3 linked regions of the Drosophila melanogaster genome follow. The protein of the gene in region 1 purifies or fractionates together with the protein of each later gene. This does not show direct contact. Each region holds a gene or a part of one and is shown in the gene's direction. Other genes may lie near its edges.

Region 1 (3,808 bases):
CTTCCCAGCGCCAGCAGAGACGTTGACGTGACGGTGGCTGTGACGTCGCCGACTCCCGCTGCCCGCTGCCAGGAGACGGAAACCTGTGGCATTGCTGCTGGCTCCACTTGACTGCAACTCCAGCTTTCCAGCCACCTACTTGCATAATCGAAAGCGGATGAGGTGCAGCGATTTGGCCGAAAATTTAAGGTTCGATCAACGGCCGTCGAGGGGGTGGGGTGAACGGTACATTTTGTTGGTATACTCATGAAAACGAAACGAAAGCTGCCTGGTCGGTCTCCGGTATGTACAGTGGGACTCTGAAGTGTTGACACAGCTGTTCTAATTTGTGCTTATCTATTGACCTTTCCAAAGCCCTATATTTTAATTTTCCGAATTCTCATCCTATTCAATATTAAAATAAAATCCATAGTTTCGTCTAAAGAACTGAGCAACTTATTTATTTTACTAATAAATACGTATTTATAACCCGTGCCAAACTGTTTTCTGCCACTGTATGCTGTATGCATGTATACGTGTGTGAGCAGCGCACATCGCAGTCGCAGTGTACGAAAATAAACGCTGGCGCAAGCAGAATGGCTGCGGAGCGAGCGAGACAACTACTGCGACGCGACGGCAAAGTACAGCAACTTCAAAAATATCGACTGAGCACAGTCTGCACACCGACAGAGCAAGCAGGGCCGCAGTCCGAGCGCCCGAAAGGGGCGCTCATTTTAGAGCAGATCTTTACAGATAGAAATTAACCTAGGTTTAATTACTAATGAACTGTATTCTAAATGCAACCATATAAATGCAGTAAAAAAAGTTCGCATAAAATGCAATTTATGAGCGGTGCAGCCCGCGCCCACCCTCACACGTATAGATCCCCCCCTGCCATTTCCTAACCATCAGCCAGCTACTGCGCCGCGTCGCCGTTCACTTTTGCGTCGTTTTCTGTCGTCGTCGTCGACTGACTTGTCCCGCCCCTTCGACCTGCGCCCGCACAGAATTAATCAATTGGCTGGGGCTGGTTGGGGCACGGACCGAAGACGGCTGACAGAAAGCAGAAAACCCGTAGCCAAAACCAGCCGAATTTCACTTACCAGGCACACCGAGCGTTTCGGCGATTTGTTTCCAGGTCTGGGCCTTGCGCACAAAGTGCTTGTAATTGTAGTGCGACCTGTCGTATATCACTGGGTTCAGCTTGACAGCCTCGATGAGATTGAGATCAAACTGCTGCTCAAGATTGGCATCCAGCTTGTCCATCTCAATGGCCGCCGTGAGGGTATGCACTGAGGGGACAAGACGGGGAAACAAGAGTTACAAATTTAGCGGGGACGAGACGGACGTGGACTGGGTCGGATCCCAGTTCCAAACTGGGCACACGGGCTCCCGCAGCCGACGACACTCACTTTGCTTCTTACGTTTGCTAATTGTTGTTAAGTATTTGGCGCGAACGCACGCTCTGTTTGTTTTTATTTTGATTGGTTTCTTCTACGAGGAAGGAACGTCGACGTTTTAATTTTATTTCTCAGTCGCGTCTCTGCCAACGGTAACGGTACGTCCCAGCTCAGTCGCGTCTCTGCCAATTAGGGGTGGGAAAACGCCGATGAAGGGGTCATCAGCGCATCGATAATTTTAAAACTCTCATACAATAACAATATGTTATGGCGACTATCGATGTTTCTGATATATCACAACAGCTGCGTAAAGCGTCAAAAGGCTTAAAGTTTTACCATGTTAAGATTTAAGATGTTAAGATCATAATTCGTTCCGAGTTTAGCTCGTTTAAAGAAGGAAGCGTACGACTATCGATAGACGGAGGGCCACCCTTATTTTAGAGGCGCCACCTTTAGGAAATGTGCGGCACCTTTGGCCAGTTGGTATATTGTAACGGTTCGTCTGCGGTCACACTGTTTCTGATTAGACCAAATGAAACAAATGGCGGCACAAAAAGCCTGGACGGATGAGGAGCGTCTGGAGCTGGCGGCCCAGCTGGACGCGGAACTGGATGCGTTTATCGATGGCCTGGAGAAGAAACGTTACGAGGAGGGCTGGCCGGAGGACCGCTGGCAGGAGGAGATGGACAAGCACCCGTTCTTCATGAAACGTGCTCCTCAGCCAGGGGATGACGTGCATCCGATGTTCGAGGGTCTGCAGAAGCTCAAGTACGATCCGGAGGAGAACACGCGCGACGAGCTGGCGCTCAACTACAAGGAGGATGGCAACTTTTACATGAAGCACAAGAAGTTCCGCATGGCAATCTACAGCTTTACCGAGGGCATCAAGACCAAGACGGACAATCCCGACGTGCTAGCCGTTCTCTACAACAACCGCTCGGCGGCTCACTTCTTCATCAAGAACTACAGATCCTCGCTGAGCGACGCCCAGCGAGCTCTGTTCTACAAGCCAGACTACACAAAGGCCCGCTGGCGGTCGGCACAGTGTGCGTACGAGCTGGAGAGGTTCGATCTGTGCACCCAGATGTGCGAGGAGCTGCTCGAGGTGGACGTCGACAACGAGGTGGCCATCGCGCTGCTGCACAAGAACAAGATGAAGAAGGTTAGAATACGTGATCCAACTGGATAGGAACCCACATTAAACAAGTTATTTCCGTAGCTCGAGATAGAACGCAATCAGCGCAAGGAAGCTGCCGAGGCAAAGCGACGGCTTACACGCTTCCACAGACTCCGCGACGCCATCGAGCAGCGCGCCATTAAGTTTGACGATCAAAAAGTTGGCAAAAAGGACGTCCTCAGTGAGGAGCTCCTTTATCCAAAGTTTCTGCCTTTGGAGGACCATCCGGTGCACCTAGACGAGGACGGCAGCACTCTGATCTGGCCGGCTGCGTTCTCCTACCCCGAGTTCCTGTACAGCGACTTTTATCAGCAGCTGCCGGAGACCACCACCATGCGGGATTGCCTGGCGACGCTGCTCACCGAAAAGCTGCCATACGACAAGGCACACAACTACCGCCTGGGTAACGTGCACGTTTACTACGAGAACCGCAAGGTGGGCTGTGTCCACAAGGTGGACGAGGAGAAGCAGCTGGCCGAGATAATCGCCGAAAAGGGGTTTTTCGTTTCCGGTGGCGCTCTGCTCTTCTATGTGGTGCACAAGGATTCGCGAGTGGAACAGGAGTTTATAAACGAACGGCGACGACCCATGGTTTACAGTTAAGACAGTGAGCAAATAAAGTGATTCCTTCTTGAAAACAAACAAACACCTTTTCATTTGCTTGTAAAGTTTACTTCATTTTTGTGGCATATTTTATTTGTAAGCTTATGGTTTAGTCACGGTACAGTTCAGCATTGGTTATGCTATCTTGAAGCATTTTATTGTAAGTTTAACTAATCTCTGATATGTTATGCGAAGCCGAAAAGCGTAGTTCAGGCTACGCCGCCAAAAAATATCTGATGCGGCGTAAGCCCATTTTGGTAGACGATTAATCATCTGTAGAATTGAAAATTGTTTAGCTAAATTTAGTTTTTCTTTAACAACAAGGCGCCTAAATGAGTCAACAATGTGGTTTTTGGTTTAATACGTATAAAAGCGTTTTTGTAAATTTTCATAATTGAGCATATTCTTAGACATTCATCGTTGGTTCACAACAGTAGTAATACTAGGGGACCCCCCAAGTGGATCCGGATATGGTTCGTTAAAATACATTTGACAAAGCAGGATGACCATACATATAAGGCTTAATACTAAGTGCATCGTGGGAAAGCGTATTATATACTCGGATAACATAATAATCAACTTGTCGAACTAATCAGATCACATTCACAAGAAACTACAACATAAATAGCGAAATGGTTAAAAAGCAGTT
Region 2 (4,118 bases), on another chromosome or scaffold:
GGCAGCCATTGTTCCTGACGACAATGACGTCGCGCTGCCCGATGTTGGCGTTTTCACTGCACTTCTCAAGGGCTTCGAGCTGCTGCCGCTGGCACTTGATCCTGTTGCAAGGCTGCTCGACTTGATGCGACCGCTGCCGCTGGTGCTGCTGAGGTTGTTGTTGTTCGCCGACGACAACTTGGTCCTTTTTGTATCCTCGACAAGTCCACGCATTTCGCTGCTGCTTCAAAGTACGCCTGAGTAGTGTGTGTGTGTGCGTGGGCGTCCATAAAAATACAGATATATACATATATCGATATTAGCTGTTCAATAAGTTCCGAGTTTCCTTTGCTGCCGCTTTCCCTCAACTGTTTTTTCATTACCTTAGAGGGGTTTTTTCCTTTTGTAAACCTCTTTTCCAGAGGGTTTTACTTCTGAAATTAACAAAATAACCGAAAGTTCTCGCCGCTTTGATTTTGCACCGTTATCCTGTTGTGTACGCGTTGAGTAAGACTGGCAAAAAGTTCTTTATCCTATTGATTTGTCCAGTGCGCCAAGCTCGCAAGCTCCTCGCGAGCTTTCGTTGGGGGTGTTCTCGATGGTCACGCTGTGTGTGGTGCGCAAATCACCTTTGACACTTTCCCAATGCACTTTTAAGTTATTTTTAATCATATTATTTATACAAGTACCGAAATATTTCAACGACAGTTTCGCACAGCCCACGAAATTGCTAATACTAATTAATAAATACATTTTAGAATAGTTTTGAGTACCTAAATTGTTATATTAAATATATATGTGTATATATTTATATATATTATATATAATATATTTTATATATGCAACATTATTACTTAACATATTATTATTAGCGCACAATGGAAATTTGGTTTCCATTGCTGCTTATCATCGAATGAATAATAATTCGGACTCACCGCGTTTCAGTCGCTTTGCTTTCAGTTTCGATGGCGACGGGGATGAAGCACTGGCGCTCGCCACCGTGTCCGGCGCAACAGGTACAACAGGTGGTGCGGGCTCGTCGGGATACGGGTACGTGGTGGTGCCATCGATTACCTCGGAAGAGGCGGCTGCTGCGGCCGCATTCGAGAACTGTGTGGATATGTGGCTGAAGATCTGCGAGGAGATGCTCTCCGTGCGCCGGAAGGTGTTCCGCAGGCGGTCCAGCGATGACGTGGGGGCGCTGGGCGCAGGCGCGGCACCTCCGGTGGTGGGCGTAACCGGAATGGAGACACTCGAGGATTGGGAGTCTTCACTCCTTTCGCGGCGCACCAGCAGATCGTCCGTGCTCATGGCGAATCACTTGCTTCGCGGCGATTATCAGGACACTGTGCGGAGTCACATGAATCAAAATGACGCGATTACAGCCGCTAATTTCGCTTGTTTTGCGCTTGAACGCGGGTAAACAAAAAAGTTTGTCAATACAAAATTAAAACAGCTGTTGCACTGCGATTGGGGATGGGCGATAACAATCACTGGTTACAGATCACGGTTATCGCAGCTCGATGGGAGCTGTTATGTTATTGAACTGACTATGCTTATCGATAAGAAAACTCAAGCAGGTGTTAAAAGCATCATAGGGTGGCAACACTGTGCCCACTTTTACCGCCAAAATAAATTGCTAGGTTTATTTACGAAAATTAAACGCCCAACGAAAGGACAACGAATGGAGGAGGAATTGAAGCAGCAGTTCGACGAGATGGGCGTGGAGCCAGCGGACGCAGTTCTGGGCAGGTGTGCGGAGCTGGCCATTACCTACAACATCCACGACGCCACCGAGTTCGTGGAGCAGTGGATGGCCTTCAGTTTGTCGCACCTCCAAGGCGAGGATCCTGCGATCGAGAATCTGGGCGACTTTGAGCGCAAGGTGTTGCAGCTGCGGAAGGACAAGGCGGGATACAAGGCAACTGGCCAGAAGGCGAAATCATATGGTTCGCCCTCTGTACAGGATACGAGCTCACTGGCCACCTATGGCGTCATGGAGGACGATCCCATGCTGGATGACTATGTCAGCGAATCGGCAGTGGACTCCTCCGCTCTGCACACGCCCAAGGCCAAGAAGCAGTCGGATCGGACCGCCAATCTCAAGGGCGCCGCACTCTTTAGCCCCGCCAGCTATACACCCCAATCGGCAAAGAGGAAAGCAGGTTTAGAAACACCATCCAACTCAGTGGCCGGCAAGCCGGGCGATATAGTTGACACCTTCGGACATCCCAAACTCCTGGCTGGCTCCAGCTGGCAGTCACAAATGGAGCACACGGTTCCGGTGACTCAAAAACTGCTGCACAACGACGCCCCGCTGACCATCGCAAATTTGGGCTACATGAACGACCTGCTGACCGACCGATGTCACAACCTGCGCGTCCGCTTCAACCAAACCGGTCCGGCACTAGTGGACAAGAAACTTGGACAAGCAGGCGCAGCCGAGTGCATTTGGTATCCGCAGGATAGGCAGGTATTGCAGTCCGCAGGTGGACTCCACGCGGTGGGAATGATTCATTCCGAGGACGATGGCCCACTGGACGCCCACTCCGCATTTATGGCCGTTTTAGATGACGATGTAGAAGATGAAATGGACCCAACGCTCACGCTCAACTTCTCCAGGGTCAAGTCTGCCAGCATATTCCCAGGTCAAGTGGTGCTCGCCAAAGGGTTCATACCCAGGGGCAAAACCTTCATGGTAGAGGAGATACACACAGAGCGCAAACTGACGCCAGCAACGCCACTGCAAATAGACAGGGAGCTTCAGTTTGTGGTGGCCTCCGGACCCTTTACGGACAGTACGGATCTCTTCTACGAACCGCTGCACGACCTGCTCAAGTACCTCAAGGATCACAGACCTGACGTGCTGGTGCTCACGGGACCATTCCTGGATGCCGATCACAAGATGGTCGGCGAACTGGCCGAGACCTTCGATACATTCTTCGAGAAGATGATTGGGGGAATAATGGAGTCGATTGGTAGTCACACAGCAGTGCTGGTGGTGACCAGTCAGAAGGATGCCATGGCTCTTTCCGTATATCCAACGCCGCCGCCCGCTCTGCGCAGAACCTATCCAAATCTATACATGCTGCCCGATCCATCTCTGGTGGACTTGGATGGCTTTACGCTGGGCGTTACCTCAACCGACGTGGTGGACCACCTGTTGAGTCACGAGTTTGCTGTGAATGCCGGCGAGCGGATGCACAGGGCCATCAACCACTTGTTCCACCAGGGCTCCTTCTATCCTTTGTATCCGCCGGCGGACGAAGACATGGCCTACGATTCCCAGCTGGCGTTGAAATATGCACAGCTCAAACAGCTACCAAATGTGCTCATCTTGCCCAGCGATCAGCGGCATTTCATCCGCTTGGTCAACGACTGCCTGGTGATCAATCCCGGCCGTGTCGCGGACAAGAAGGGTGGAACTTTCGCCCGATTCCTGGTGGCGCCTTCGGTGCCGGGAAAGGCGGCCAACATGTTCAACAGTGTGGCGTGTCAAGTCCAACGCATCTAACCTGACCACTTTGTGATGATGATAAGGAAAGGATAGTGGGAAATAGATCAGTACAATATTATTAGTTAATATAATGAACACACTACTTTGTCATAACTTTTCACAAAATACATTCAACAACAAACAACTAGCATTAGTTATTTTGGGCCAAAGTAGGTATTGTATTATTTGTAAACATATGCCCTGGAGTTTTCTCAGACTCAAGTTTTATATACAACAAGATCAATAATGGCTAGCAACGTTGCTGCGCCACAAGCTTCAGCTGGAGGAGATTCGACGGAACTGGAGCGCTGTTGCTGGATCTGTTTTGAGACCGATAAGGAGGCAGGTCGCCAGGCTTGGGTGAATCCATGTCTCTGCCGAGGAACCAATAAGTGGGTGCACCAGAGCTGCATTTCCCTCTGGATCGACGAGAAGACCCGAATAAACAACAATCTGCAAGCCGTTTCCTGTCCACAATGCCAAACGGAGTACACCATTGCATACCCGAATCTCTGGATTTTCGATAGGGCTTTGGAGCTGACCAACGATCTTATCCTAACAAACTTATATAATTGCCTGGCCAATGTCTTCACGGTGGTCTTTGCCTATTGGTCAGCGGTTTCATTCGGAGCAAAAACATATT
Region 3 (6,402 bases), on another chromosome or scaffold:
AATGTATACTTATGTCTTCTCGTAAAACAGAGATCGAACGAAGAAATTGTAAATTGTGTAATAAAGTGTGAATTATGTACTTTTTATAAAATCAAAACTCACCCGACCACTGGCCATAATTTTTTCAGCCGGGGCCAATCATTGAACTTGCACTCCTCAAACAAATGACCAAATGTCTCAGCTGACCAACTGGTTTATGCGTTTCCAGACGTAAACGGCAATGGGCAAGATTTCCACAAATTACCAGACATCGTTAGACACATTTTCCGGATCCCAAACGAGTTCTTCAGTTCATTGTGGTTTCTTGTATTTGTTTTCATTGAAATTGCATAAGCCTTAATTGAAATGTTGACGGAAAATGCTTCCTAAATGGTTAAAAGACTTGGAGTTTCTTCGAAATGTCGATGTAATTGATATATAAGCTGATTTCAATTAGCAATAAATAAAAAATCAAACCGCATTGCTAGTATGGCTAGTTTAAATTTGGCGGGGTTTGTCGATATAGTTTACCAGCACTGTTTAAAAATGTCGATAATGACTAGTAAACTTTCTTTACAATTGCCATCTCTAATTGATAAGAAAGGGCAGAGTACATATAAATAAGAAATATATCAATGGTCAGCTAACCAAAGGCAAGAATATAAACAAAATAATGGAGAAAAACAAATATGTACCACGTGTAAATCAGGTGAGCTAATTATGGTGAGCTATTCATGAATTAAAACCACTAAAATTATACATGTTTACCTTTTAGATAGATGCCATCTATTTGAACAAGGACATTGCCCGCCTGATACGCGATAATCTGCTGGAGAACTTGCAAGCCATCTCAGTGAGTATATGAACACTACCATAATTGGCCAATATATACTGTATATCTCTCACAGCCCGTTTTGTTCATCAAAATCCAACCGGAGCTCGACTTGATCATTCAATCCGCAATTTGGTTTGGTTCCGTCGGCAAGCGGTGCTCCACTTTTGGCCAACAGCTACTGGTTCTGGCTTACGATGCCGAAAAGCTGACCGTTTCCAGGCTGGTGCTCCATTTCATCCTGACCGTCTTGCCGGGCTACGTGAAGAGCTGGGAGGAGCGACGCTTAACAAGGCGCGTAGAATGGTTTAGCGAGGCGATTATGTGGGTGGAGAACAGTGCCCTGATACTGAACATCCTCAATTACTTTCGGTTCCTGAAGACAGGACGAAAACCCACTTTGGTGGACTACTTATTGGGATTGGACTACATTAGTCTGCGGAACAATCAAAGGAGAGACATTGGCTACAAGTACCTAACGAGGGAGCTGCTGTGGGGAGGATTTATGGTGCGTGTTAGTTAGTTTGCTTATTATACATATATATTACAGTGTATATTATAGGAAATCCTCGGACTGGTGTTGCCCATCATCAATTTCCGTAAGCTACAAAGAGTGCTAAAATCATGGACATTTTCCGGACGACGGTTAGAGGATAGAGATGGTCCGGCTTTCCTGGCGCCGCAGATGACACTAAGCACCACCTGCACATTCTGTGGAGAGCGACCCACATTGCCCCACCACATGGGCTGTGGTCATATTTATTGCTATTACTGCCTTAATGCAAATGTTTTAACGGATGCCAGTTTCTGCTGCCCCAACTGCGGTTCTGCGTGTCCTGAGTCGGGAATCCAAAGTGTCTGATAAATAGGAATATAGTGCATGTGATGGTTTTATATGTCTTTTATTAGTTTTAAGCGAAAAGTGGGCTGTAAGTAATAAACAAATCATTTTCATATTCCGCCAAATGTGTGTACTTTTAGTGTTAGCAAGCAGAGTAGTGTTGGTAGTCGTACAAAAACAGCTATTATTTACTTGCCCAGTGCCAGGAGTCGTGCGATATAAACTACATAAAAAGTGTATAATTAAACGAAAATAAAAAGCAAAAACTGTTTAGGGCGAAGTATAAAGCCTTGCGGATCCAAAGTTAACTGCTGATTTTCCAAGAACAACAGTTAAGATCAAAAAGTAAGTTCTAAATCCCTATCTTTGGTAAATAAAAAGCGCGCGAAAATATGGGAACAGCTGTTGCATTCTCAACCAGCGTTGCCAAATGTGGCAAATAAATTAAGCAATTATATGAACTCAACTGTTAAGTAGCTCTAACCGTATTTAAGCCACTAGATTAGATAGATAGACTAAGAACATGATTAATATTCATATTTTTTGGGTGGCAAAGCCACACCCAATTTGTTTTGCAATTTCGCGAATCAGCTGCCTGCGGCGATGTGGCAACGCCATTACTTTGTTATTATCTCATTTTTCTGCTGCGCATTTCGTCTTTGTCCGAATTTTTTTGAAGAAAACAATACAATTAATCGCTTCACCAAGAACACGACAAGTAGTTGGAAACCCACGAATTAAACAATTTTTTTGGAGTTGCGTAATTGCATAAAAATAAATAAAGGCATAACCAGCGAAAATAAGAAAACGAGAGCAAACAATTGAAAACAGAAAGTGCTGAAATAATAACAAATACACTTGGCCATCAATTGCGTATATATATAATTGTTTAAATATATTCGCAACGCGAACTGATTTCACATATCAAGGTCAGTAAGTTGACGACTCGCAGCAACAACAATAACAAACCAAGATCCCTTAAAAACCCCCAGGTGAAAATGCTAGATCTGGAGATCGTGCCGGAGATTTCCCTGGGCTGCGATGCCTGGGAATTTGTGCTGGGCATGCACTTCTCGCAGGCTATCGCCATCATCCAGTCGCAGGTGGGCATCATCAAGGGAGTCCAGGTGCTGTACTCGGATACCACTCCCCTGGGCGTGGACATCATTATCAACCTGCCACAGGATGGCGTTCGCTTGATCTTTGATCCCGTCAGTCAGCGTTTGAAGACCATCGAGGTTTTCAACATGAAACTGGTGAAGCTGCGGTATTTCGGCGTATACTTCAATTCCCCGGAGGTGCTGCCGAGTATCGAGCAAATCGAGCACTCCTTTGGAGCCACACATCCTGGGGTTTACGATGCAGCCAAACAATTGTTTGCTCTACACTTTCGCGGGCTGAGTTTCTACTTTCCGGTGGACAGCAAGCTGCACTCGGGCTACGCCCATGGACTGAGTTCTCTGGTTTTCCTGAATGGCGCCTCACCCGTCGTGTCCAAGATGTCTCTCTACGCAGGCAGCAATGTGTTGGAGAACAGGGTACCATCTCTTCCCTTGTCCTGCTATCACCGCCAGATGTATTTGGAATCGGCCACTGTTCTCCGAACCGCCTTTGGTCACACGAAGGGTCTGAAGCTGAAGCTCTTTACTGAGGGTTCAGGAAGGGCTTTGGAGCCACGCCGTCAGTGCTTTACGCGAGAGCTGCTCTTCGGCGATAGCTGCGAGGATGTGGCCACCAGTCTTGGAGCACCCAATCGTATATTCTTCAAGAGCGAGGACAAAATGAAGATACACAGCTCGAGTGTCAATCGACAAGCACAGAGCAAGCGAAGCGATATTTTCTTTAACTACTTTACACTTGGCATCGATGTGCTCTTTGATGCACGGACGCAGACCTGCAAGAAATTCATTCTGCACACCAACTACCCCGGTCACTTCAACTTTAATATGTACCATCGCTGCGAGTTCCAGTTCCTGCTGCAGGCGGATCACCCTTCGATGAGTGATAGTGGTCACGATTTGGTGACGCCGACTAAGCAGGAACATGTGAACATAACCGCCTACACCAAATGGGACGCGATCAGCAGCGCATTGGCCACCTCAGAGCGGCCAGTGGTGCTGCATCGCGCCAGCTCGACGAACACAGCGAATCCGTTCGGCTCCACCTTTTGCTATGGCTACCAAGACCTGATTTTCGAGGTGATGCCCAATAGCCACATCGCCTCGGTAACGCTCTACAATACTGCGCCTCCCAGGCAGCCAGCGCATTCCTGGCAGCAGCACAAAATGCAAGACATTCGCCTCACAGTGGCCTAAAGTTGTGGAATTTACTGGGCTCCTTTCGCTGCTCCATGATGCTGAACAAGGGAAAGCCCGCCGGTCGTGCTCTAATCTTTAAGCTACAACAATGATCTAACATAGCCGTAAAGTAGACACATACATTATATAGTAATATATAGATATATATATATACATGGTAGACGTAGATTTCCAATGTAAGCTAAGCCAATCATCGGACGAACTCTCTGACCAGGTTCATTCTGCGGTATTCCATTGCGATAGCTCGATTCAATTTGTTTCGACCCATAACTGACAATTAATAAGCCTCTTACGTTTAAAAAATGCATGTCGTTAATATATTTCAGTACTTTAAGCTCCAATCGTGTATCTCTCTTTGAAAAAGAAAAAATCAGCAAAAAAATATATAAATATAAGGTTTCGACAAAAAGCTGAATGGTTTTGATTTCTTTACGGTTATAAGTATTCTGTTCTTTTTCTGGATATAATCATAAGATATGTGGTTTATTTTCAGTTTCTTAAAATGCCCGAACAAGTCACAGATCAGGAGAACCAGGCTCCACAGCAGCAGACTACTGCTGTGCATGCCTACAATCCCGAAGTCCTGCAGGATATGTTGCCCGTGTATTACAGGCGCCTCTTTCCCCACCTGCCCTTCTACCGTTGGCTATCGTATGGATCATGTAAGTACACCCAACTACAATCCTTAAAAATAGCCGTTGATCATTATTCTTTTCAGCCGAGGATGCTATCTTTTCCAATCGTGAAATTTCCTTTACACTGCAGGACGATATCTACATACGTTACCTCTGCTTTGATACCCAAGCTGAATTGGAAAAGGAGATCTGCTCGAGGAATCCTATTAAGATTGACATAGGACCAGTAATGCATTCCAAACCCAAAAACCATCGTTCAATTCCTGGCGGCTTAACGCCCGTACAACGTGAACTCGTTTTTGATATAGATATGACGGATTACGACGAGGTGCGTACCTGTTGCTCTGGAGCAGGGGTATGCCTGAAATGCTGGAAGTTTATGGTGCTGGCTGCCAGGGTTTTGGATGTCGCTTTGCGCGAGGATTTCGGTTTCGAGCACATAATCTGGATTTTCTCAGGTAGACGAGGTATCCATTGCTGGGTTTGCGACTACCAAGCCCGTCACTTGGACGGACGTGGTCGCTATGCTGTGGCGGAATACCTTAACATTATTACCTATGCCAGTTTCGCGGGCGGCAATTCACCCAGATGTTCAATGGGAGACCGACCGCATCATAGCCTAAAGAGAGCCTTAAAGATAGTGGAGCCCATGTTCGAGGAGATTGTACTAGAGGATCAGAATCTTTTTGGAACTCCCAAGGGAGTTACCAAACTTCTTAACATGGTCCACGATGACGCTGCGCGTGGCGAACTAGAATCTTATATGCAAAAGAATTTGGAGGATGGAGCACACTCGCGACTCGTTTGGGAGAGCTTCATTAAGTACGCCAACTCTATGAGAACATCCACGACAAGTGCCTGGAGTCGCAAGCTGAAGAACATTGTAGCCGAAATCCAGCTTGGACTGCTCTATCCTCGTTTGGACATCAATGTCACTAGGGGATTCAATCATTTGCTAAAGGCACCGTTTTGCATTCATCCAGCCACTGGAAAAGTGTGCGTTCCGTTTAGTGTGAGTGCTGTGGCCAAGTTTGATCCCACCACAGTGCCGACGATCACCCAGTTGCTTCACGAGATCAACGCTTTCGATGATAAGAGCAAGAGCTACATGGAGGCGCCGGAGGATAAGAGCCGCATCAAGGATCACAAGAAGACTAGCATGTTCAAGGGTGTCGTGGTTTTCGAGGAGTTCCTGCGAAAACTGGAGCGCAGCCAGAAATCTGCCAGCTTGCAGTTTTGATTCTAATTTTACAAACTAACATAAGAAAATAAAAGGTTAATGAATATTTCAGTATGCATACACTTTCTCGTTTGCCGCTTGCGTATTTATCTTTATTAAGTTTTTGTATTGTAATCATTAGGCTAGCAACAATAAATAGTCTAGGCGACATCGCACCGGTTCCGGTTCACAATCCGGCTCTCACATGCAGCGCAGTCGCACCAGCGGCACCACGTTGCCGTCCTTATCGTCCACATCTACCTCAACCTCTAGCTGGTAAAGCCCATCCTCCGGTATCGTGCTGTCGGGCAGACGGGCCAGGATCTCGCTCTCCCCGGTGCGCAGCTTAAACGAAGCAGCTGCTTTGCTTACGTCGTCACCCTTTCCCTCCTCTGATTGGGGCAGTGATATCCGTATTTTGGCAGGCAGAACGCTCCCCCTGCCCAGGACCAATTTGGCGTTGGATTCGTCATTACCGTGCCAAATGAAGAGGTCATCCTCAGCCACCACGCAATCCTCCTCCTTGTGAAGCTGCTGTTCGAGGGGGTCAATCAGGCACACAGCTTGGCGCGCGCAGC

The links. The genes of interacting proteins can lie anywhere in the genome.
Region 2: the proteins of Dpit47 (region 1) and PolA2 purify together in Drosophila melanogaster (affinity purification with western blotting, with the first as the bait; one study listed by BioGRID). This does not show direct contact.
Region 3: the proteins of Dpit47 (region 1) and Prim1 purify together in Drosophila melanogaster (affinity purification with western blotting, with the first as the bait; one study listed by BioGRID). This does not show direct contact.

Annotation. Positions count from the first base shown.
Region 1 is NT_033778.4:6,660,032-6,663,839, reverse strand, and holds Dpit47 (DNA polymerase interacting tpr containing protein of 47kD), read left to right. Parts: upstream 1-1,721; 5' UTR 1,722-1,911; coding exon 1,912-2,541; intron 2,542-2,598; coding exon 2,599-3,159; 3' UTR 3,160-3,195; downstream 3,196-3,808. Other genes in the region: Adf1 (Adh transcription factor 1), read right to left, coding at 1,083-1,271, 1,392-1,392. UniProt on the Drosophila melanogaster protein: May act as a co-chaperone for HSP83.
Region 2 is NT_033777.3:27,237,611-27,241,728, forward strand, and holds PolA2 (DNA polymerase alpha subunit 2), read left to right. Parts: upstream 1-1,552; 5' UTR 1,553-1,663; coding exon 1,664-3,493; 3' UTR 3,494-3,618; downstream 3,619-4,118. Other genes in the region: CG31064 (uncharacterized protein), read right to left, coding at 1-213; CG17991 (uncharacterized protein), read left to right, coding at 3,722-4,118. UniProt on the Drosophila melanogaster protein: Accessory subunit of the DNA polymerase alpha complex (also known as the alpha DNA polymerase-primase complex) which plays an essential role in the initiation of DNA synthesis.
Region 3 is NT_037436.4:8,338,503-8,344,904, forward strand, and holds Prim1 (DNA primase subunit 1), read left to right. Parts: upstream 1-1,811; 5' UTR 1,812-1,997; intron 1,998-2,282; exon of another isoform or gene 2,283-2,581; intron 2,582-2,644; exon of another isoform or gene 2,645-2,650; coding exon of another isoform or gene 2,651-3,967; exon of another isoform or gene 3,968-4,374; intron 4,375-4,463; 5' UTR 4,464-4,472; coding exon 4,473-4,632; intron 4,633-4,688; coding exon 4,689-5,845; 3' UTR 5,846-5,902; downstream 5,903-6,402. Other genes in the region: Pex2 (peroxin 2), read left to right, coding at 653-688, 755-832, 888-1,319, 1,374-1,673; CG7083 (uncharacterized protein), read left to right, coding at 2,651-3,967; CG7182 (uncharacterized protein), read right to left, coding at 6,026-6,402. UniProt on the Drosophila melanogaster protein: Catalytic subunit of the DNA primase complex and component of the DNA polymerase alpha complex (also known as the alpha DNA polymerase-primase complex) which play an essential role in the initiation of DNA synthesis.